Linked DNA regions of Danio rerio. The protein of the gene in region 2 interacts with the protein of the main gene of each other region in a biochemical or structural test. Links are inferred from orthologs where the notes say so. Each region holds a gene or a part of one and is shown on either strand. Other genes may lie near its edges.

Region 1 (3,935 bases), on a different chromosome or scaffold from region 2:
CATTGTATCTTAACAAGATGTAAAGTTTCCGTGCACTCATTTCCTCTTGATTAAGTGTGAGATTAAATTTCAACATGAAAGCAAAAGCTAGAAAAAAAGTGTTTTTAAATTGAATAGCATCTCTGTATATGACAAGCAGTTGTTTTTTTTGTAGACATGTGTGAGTGCACCAACCTTAAAGATTCCAACCCAGTCTTTTGGATGTGGTGTGATGAAAGGAGTGAGTGTGTAATGACATTCAAGAGCTGCCTGAGGGAGGAAGCTTTTCCCAACATTCTGGAAGATGACATGGGCGAAGTTGGATGTCTCCATGACAACACTTCCTCCTCCACCTGCAGATGCTCCCACGTTACAGGATGACGACATCGTAAGTGATCTAGGAATGCCTGTGACTGTTCTACCTGGAAGCAGAAGGAATGAAGATTGTGAAGCAATTCTGTTTAATTTACACATTCACACAAGGTAAAACATTCAATTAAATGATCATTACTGCAGAATACACCCCAATAGATATTTTATTTATATATTATTCTGCATTTTTGCTGCTAACTACAAATTAATAAATCAATGCATATTAAATATTAATTATATTCTCCTGTTTTACTCGTAAAAACCAAAATCCATGCACAGCTATTTAGAAATTATTGGTTTCACAGAAACAAAGATGGTTGACGCAGTGGCGCAGTAGGTAGTGCTGTCGCTGATTAGCAAAAAGGTCGCTGGTTTGAGCAGTTGGCATGGATCAGTTGGCGTTTCTGTGTGGAGTTTGCATGTTCTCCGTGCGTATGCATGGGTTTTCTTCGGGTGCTCCGGTTTCCGCCACAGTCCAAAGACATGCGGTACAGGTGAATTGGGAAGGCTAAATTGTCCTTAGTATATGAGAGTGAAAGGGTATGTATGGATGTTTCCCAGAGATGGGTTGCGGCTGGAAGGATATCCGAGGCATGAAACGTGCAGGATAAGTTGGCGGTTCATTCCGCTGTGGCGACCAGGAATTAATAAAGGGACTAAGTCGAAAAGAAAATGAATGAATGAGAAAAAAAGATGAATTATTAGACCTTGTCCCGTTTTTATACTTCATCATTTATTATGATTAACCTATAAGAATGGTGGTGCGGTAGTGTAGTGAGTAGCACTGTCGCCTCATAGCAAGATGGTCGCTGGTTCGAGCCTTGGCTGGATCAGTTGGTGTTTCTGTTTGCACGTTCTCCCCATATTTGCGTGGGTTTCCTGGTTTCCCCTCACAGATCCAAAGACATGCGGTATAGGTGAATTGGGTAGGCCAAAATGTTTGTAGTGAATGAGTGTGTTTGGGTGTTTCCCAGTGATGGGTTGCAGCTGGAAGGGCATCCACTGCGTAAAACATATGCTGGATAAGTTGGCAGTTCATTCTGATGGTGAGTCCCGATTGATAAAGGGACTAAGCCAAAAATTTAATGAATGAATGAATGAATGAACCTATAAGAATCAAGTATTATAAAAATTGTCTACATAAATCTACATTTTAAGTATCTTCTGATTAATTTTAATTTCTGATATGCATGTTTAAATTCTTAGTTCATAGTGTTACTTTAAAAGTTTAAAAATATTGGCGTATGAAAGTCTAACATTCTCTCAAAGTTTTGAATGAATATTCTTCATGTCGCCTTTATGTTTTTGAGGATAAATGTTTAGTAATAATATTGAATATTGAATATTTTACGTTGTCTATGGTACTTTGCCTAAAACATTGCAGCTGAACGAATCTTAGAATGTTCAGAAAACATAACGTTCCCATGTTGGTTGCAAATTATAAAATGGAAAGTTTCCTCAGCATTAATCAAAACAAGAAAAATCTTGTTTAACATATTTTTTAAACATGTAGAAAAGCAGACGTTTACAAAGAGCATTCAGAAAACGTAAAAAGGATGTTATGAAAATGTTATTAGGACATATTTACCTTAGCTAAAACTGTAATGTATAGAAATGGTTTATAAATGAGCTGCATAAGGAAGACCTGCCCTAGTTCAGGCTGGATGGGGCGATGCCGAGTAGGCCTGTATTCATGGAACTGCTGATGGTGCTGTCATCCCTTTCCAGGCCTTTATCGTCGACAGCTAATTTATTTTACAATAATATATATATTCCACCCGAACTGACGATACAAAAGCTTAAAAACGTACTATTCTTTGTCTTACTGAAACATGTCTGTTTTAACCGAAAGGTAGCCTACTGTATATGCAGTTTCTCTTGAATTATGTTGCTAAATAACAAGCCACTGCGGGTTTTAATGATAGTTGCACTAAACGTATAGTAAAATGCGTTCCTTTTCCTATATTATACGCCAAAATTATTACTGCCGGTGACCTTAGAGAATGAGCTAATGAAATGAGTTTTAATCTCTTCACTGCAATCCCAGCCCTAAATACATTGCGATAACAAGCACGCAATTACAAATTCTGTTTCCAAAATTGTCACTATAAATATACAAGTCATCGCTGAATAAATCTATTATACCTGTAATCCATGTTAACTTGAAGATCTGATAACTCTTGTTGTTTAGATTGCTAGTCAACGCAGACTGAGAGCGTCCCTGTCATAAAACTGAACCGGGTGTCAACATGTTTTGGGACCTAGATACGTCATGAAACTTCCGGTAGGTCGCGCTCTGTGATTGGTTTATTTATTCATGTCACAGATATTCTTGTACTACCATTGGTTAGTGGTGAACCCCCACAAAAGAGCGATGGGTCCGACTCTTTCGAGCGAATCTGTGTCCTCTCGAACACTATGCGGTTAAAAGAGACCCCGGTTCACCTTGAATGTTTTACTTGTAAGCTAAGATTCAGTTCGTGAGAGAATCATTTCAGTTCACTTCTAAGGTTTAAAAGGACGATTCGTTTACGAGTTAGTTATTGCTTCATTAAAACATATAAATAGAAAATGCTAAGCGTACACTATCATGGAACTATATGGAAACTGTGATTGAATTGAAAATTGGAACAGTTTAATCAATGAAATGCGTTTTTTATACATTGAATCGAGTATAATGTATGAAAAGCGAGGGTAGAAAATGTAATGCAATTATCGAGCAAAGCAAACAGATCATTTATAAGGCCTCACAAACAGTTGTAGAATTGTTGTTTCATATAAGTTGAATAACGTTACGAGACGAATTAAAGATCTTTAAACAATTTTACAACAGAAAAGAGAACTTCAGAAACCTTATTCATGTACTAGGAAAGGGTCTTTGTATTTTTTCATTTGTTTAGCAACTGTGTTTTGGATTCGGAGCAAAGTGTGGTTGTTCTCCTTTAAGCGCAAGGACAACAAGTTCATACAGTGACCATACATTCGCTTAGAAGTCAAAAACGTCTAGCCATTCTTAATCTTTTAAGTAGTATCTCCTTAATTCTATTCAAAGAAATCACAGCATGAATGCGGGGAGAAACTCCATGATATCTGAACGACGATCTCGATCTAATTGGTTGATAATCAAATCCGTATCAGTGATTGGTGGAAGGGAGATGTCAGTCATAGGACCCGCCCCCTGTGTTCCTGACTCGTACACAACTGTCTCTAGGCGCTGAGGTCAAGGGGAATAAGCATGGCCGCTTTGTTTAGAGGGTATCGGAATTTTTATAAAAGAAGCAATAAACATGTGGAGCTCATATTGGGTAGGTCATTTCCTCATTAATCGTCTGTTGACAGACTAAGTTGATAAATACGCCGTTAATGTTATTGCAAAGAGTAACTTGGTTCGGGAATTTAGATTTTTCTTTTTTTTTTATTTTGTTGTCAGTTTTGTGCACATACGTGGAGTATGCTTGAGCATGTCTGTAGAAATATATGATCAGGCATTGTGCACAATATGCAATGCACTGTTTACTTTTTAAGCAATACAAGTTGTGCAATCCAGTTGGGGTTTAGGAGCTCATAGCTTGCATATTATAGTT
Region 2 (3,935 bases):
TGGCAAATGTGCTCTGGTACACCTTGCATGCTTTATGCACGTTTGTTTTTATGTCTGCAATGCTCTTGGGAAATGCAGAAGTCAGCGTGGCATTAAATCTAATTAATGGAGCTTCTTCAGGCTCACCAGATGACTTAAAACTCTTGTTTAGCTGTTTCTGGGGAAACTGATGTCGAATATTAGGCCTACTCTGTCTCCATCCCAAGATATTCTGTGAGACTATACGTAACTCAAGCTGGAGGCTATAGTTAACCTGTATAACACCCCAAAGCAACAGCATGAAGTCGTATATGGGATGAAGAGTGGTTGTCAGAGTCTTAAACACACACAAAAAAACTGTTTGTTATAACTTTTTTGCTTAGAAATTTGATATAGCGACACGTAGTGAGAGATCAGGTGTCCTAATTAGATTTACAAACACAAAGTCTGCTTTCAATGTGGTTTAAGATTTCAACTTAGGAATACTTCTATACGTTTTGAATTACAAGCCAAATAAAATATTAATGAGCCTTCAGTTTGTATCAGTTGCGCGCCTTTTAGTAACTATGGCAACCCAGTAGGCACCTTGTGACTTTCTCCTCATCCCTTAGCAAGTTTTATCCATCCTGAATTAAACTTTACTAGTACGTTAACGAACTGGGACTTGTTTTAGTACAATAATACAGTTTATAACTTGAAGAACTGATTCCAGCCACCAGAACGTTTTAACTTAACCTTCTTTTAGTTCCCAGAACGTTCTTTTAAGGTTTTTGGTTAGCCAAAATGAAAACAACATTAGCTTTAACGTTAGGTTGTAAAGTGTACACAAGACGATAATAATGTGCTTGAGGGGATAACTTTTAATATTAGACGACCTGTTTTAGTATGTTTGATGTTTTTATGTGATGATAACACTATTTTTTTACATAACACTAATAAGCAGCTTGATTTGAGCGATAAGAACTGGTAAAATTTACCATGACATACTATATATTTAGTCATTAAAACTAAAATATTCCTCGTAAAACATATTCTATATCACCTTTATAGTAAACAACCAGTTATTCGTGTCATTTAGATCAATCAATGTATCGGCTACGTCTTAAAAGATTAGTTTGCGCCCTACCTAGGCAGCATAATGGTGCGTCATGTATTTGTAGTGAAGCCCGTCAAGTAACTTATATCATTGTAGCGCGTACATGTAAAGTCCACTGCACTCGCCTACTGCATGCCGCTTTTACTCAAACTATTTTGCCAGTCATGACCCTGTGTATTGAGACACCACCTGTGTCAGTCAGCGCTACTGTGTCACCGTTGAGGTCGCTGTTATTCCAGTGGACTTCAGTCTGAAGCCGGACACACAGAGAGGAACGACAGCGGCTTTGGAAAAGGGAATATTCAGCATCGAGGAGGGAATCTGTCACCGCTAACCGGGACAGTCTGTCGCTCATCTGTCCTCAAAAGAAGCTGCTCTTACCGGATTTACACACAATGTGAGTGACTTCGCTTACTTTATTTATTGCTTGACTGCGCTTTGTGGCAACTAAAGGTGTTGTTAGGCGTAAGTTGTGTTTAATTGCTTCTACAGTGGCGCGCTAGCATGCTGCTAATGAATGTGTTCATTCAGTATGGTTACAGTGAATTTTGTTATGTCAATGTTTGCAATGTCATTTATTTTTGCAGAATTTTGTTTAAAACGCAGGGTTGTATGACAACGAGTTCGGTTAACAAACTACTAGGAATACATGTATATCAGCGATAGTTAAATTCATTCTTAATCTTGCTTTTGGTTGTGTTTAGTTTTTTTTCTTTGAGAGCTTTTTCTATGGTGTTTTGTAAGCTGCGTGTGTGTGTGACCAAAGTTTTCCAGAAAATTAGTTAAGGCAGGCAGTATGTCATGGAAACTCGACAGGATATCCTATGTGTGCAGTTATAACGAGTGTAACTTTCTTCTGAAGTTGTGGAAACCATTGACAGAGGTAACGTTAGTTATTTGGGTTCCAATCGTATGAATGATGGATGCTTTAAACGCTGAATTAGGTGACTGTAAACTGCCGTTTGTGCGCATGCGCGACTGCTCTGGTTAAACGTCGTAATGGTTCCACCTTTATAATCCCCCAAGGGTCATTCTACGAAATGTGTGTCGTTTAAAGCGATTTATACTTGCATTTATGCACACATACAGTATGCATGACATTAATGTGGCTATTGCAGCTAGCTTTTAAAATGATTTTGGTGAGAGCTTTAAAAATAAATAATAATAACAAAACTTTACATTGCAATTCATTCATTCATATATTCATTCATTCATTCATTCATTCATTCATTCATTCATTCATTGGCCACACTTCATTTTATGGTAAAACTCTTGCTATTAATAAATCATTAATTTTGACTTGTAGTTTGACAAACTTCTACTTTGCTGCTTATTAATAGTAAGGTTTTAGTTGGCTTTATGTGTTTGGTAGGGTTAGGGATGCAAAATATGTATTTTAAGTACTACCAAACAGTTAATATCTCATTAATATACAGGCAATAAGCCAGTTGTTAATAGTAAGAATTAGTACTTGAACTAAATTGTTACCTATTTCATATGTTGTTGCAATTTTGCAATAATCATTTAAGAGATATAGCCTTTAAAATATATTTGTAGAATTTTGGACTTATGTAAACAGAGCATCTTTAGGTGCCAAAAACTCATTTTGTTATCTTGTCATATTAGTGTCAAAAACTATATACTGTATAATATCCACCCCCCCCCCCCCCAAAAAAAAAAATAAATAAAAAAATTCAGATATGTGTGTGTGTGTGTGTGTGTGTGTATATTAGGGATGCAACGATTATACATTTTGGTTGTACGATTATAGTCATGGAAATAATCACGGTTTCACGGTTATCACAATTATTATGCATTTATTAATTTCAAGCCCCACCAGTTTAGAAAATAAGATAAAAACTCCTTTTGCTTTACAGTGTTATTTATTGCTGCTCAGTAGCTAATTAATAAAGCACAAAATAATATAAAAAACGAACAATAGTAAATTTCTCTCTTTGTGCTTAAAAATAAGTGAATGTTTTTGACATTTAAACAAAGAATTTTACACTGTAAATAAATGACAGAACAATAAATAAATAAAAGAAAGAATAAATAAAAAAATGTAGGAGCACCCACTAAAAATTAATAAACACCACTGCAACTTGTATATTAAGGGATTTATTGTATTTGAAAACAACATCAATTAGGACTAACAAAAACCACAAACAACTATCTAACTAATGCTGAGATGACTTATTGATATTTGCGCAATAACTTCAAAATGAATGTCTAATAATTCTAAAATATTATTGATGACGAAGATGACACTAATACTAACAATGAATGATTAACATTTCTCATTTTCTTGCTGCTTTGAATGTGAGAGTTATCTGCTATAAAAAGTCCTACTGTTACTTTATGATAAATAAATGTATGGTTTGCATCAAAAAAATTAAGCATTGCAGTAAGAAAAGTTTATTTTGCACTATTGTTTTATATGCTGGTTAATTTACAAACAGAAAGAATGGACAAAAGAAAGGAAGAAAAGTCTCACTTCTGCTCCTATTTAAAAGTTTTGGTTTCGGTTTGTTCATTGTAAATGCTTAGTCTCGTTATGCTCTGATTTTCATCACTCTGTGTGAAAAAAACAACAACAGTGAGTCAGCCGGCTCATACAAGCGGGGTAGAGCAGGATTCTGTAGATGACCACCAGTGCAGTACTGTTGTCATGAGCCGCAGTTTCAGTTTAAACTTAGTAAAGGCGAGCTTCTTTGGGCGATAATGTGTACATTGTTAGGTTTTACATTTAGCAGAAATTTGCGGTGAATGCAACGCATCAAGATTTAGGCCATTAAACAGCTGATCCAATCCAATTCTTTCAGCACTCTTTAAAATCACTCTGTTGATCTTGGCTGGTGAT

What was found.
Region 1: the proteins of myo6b (region 2) and tax1bp1a form a complex in vitro, tested with the Homo sapiens proteins (5 studies listed by BioGRID, with this or other methods). The link is inferred for Danio rerio from reciprocal best matches to the Homo sapiens genes MYO6 and TAX1BP1.

The regions. Positions count from the first base shown.
Region 1 is NC_133194.1:21,855,693-21,859,627, forward strand, and holds the start of tax1bp1a (tax1-binding protein 1 homolog A), read right to left. Parts: upstream 2,610-3,935; 5' UTR 2,497-2,609; exon of another isoform or gene 1,940-2,496; intron 402-1,939; 5' UTR 367-401; coding exon 175-366; intron 1-174. Other genes in the region: hibadha (3-hydroxyisobutyrate dehydrogenase a), read left to right, coding at 3,587-3,656.
Region 2 is NC_133192.1:38,705,481-38,709,415, reverse strand, and holds the start of myo6b (myosin VIb), read left to right. Parts: upstream 1-1,322; 5' UTR 1,323-1,472; intron 1,473-3,935. UniProt on the Homo sapiens protein: Myosins are actin-based motor molecules with ATPase activity. Unconventional myosins serve in intracellular movements. Myosin 6 is a reverse-direction motor protein that moves towards the minus-end of actin filaments.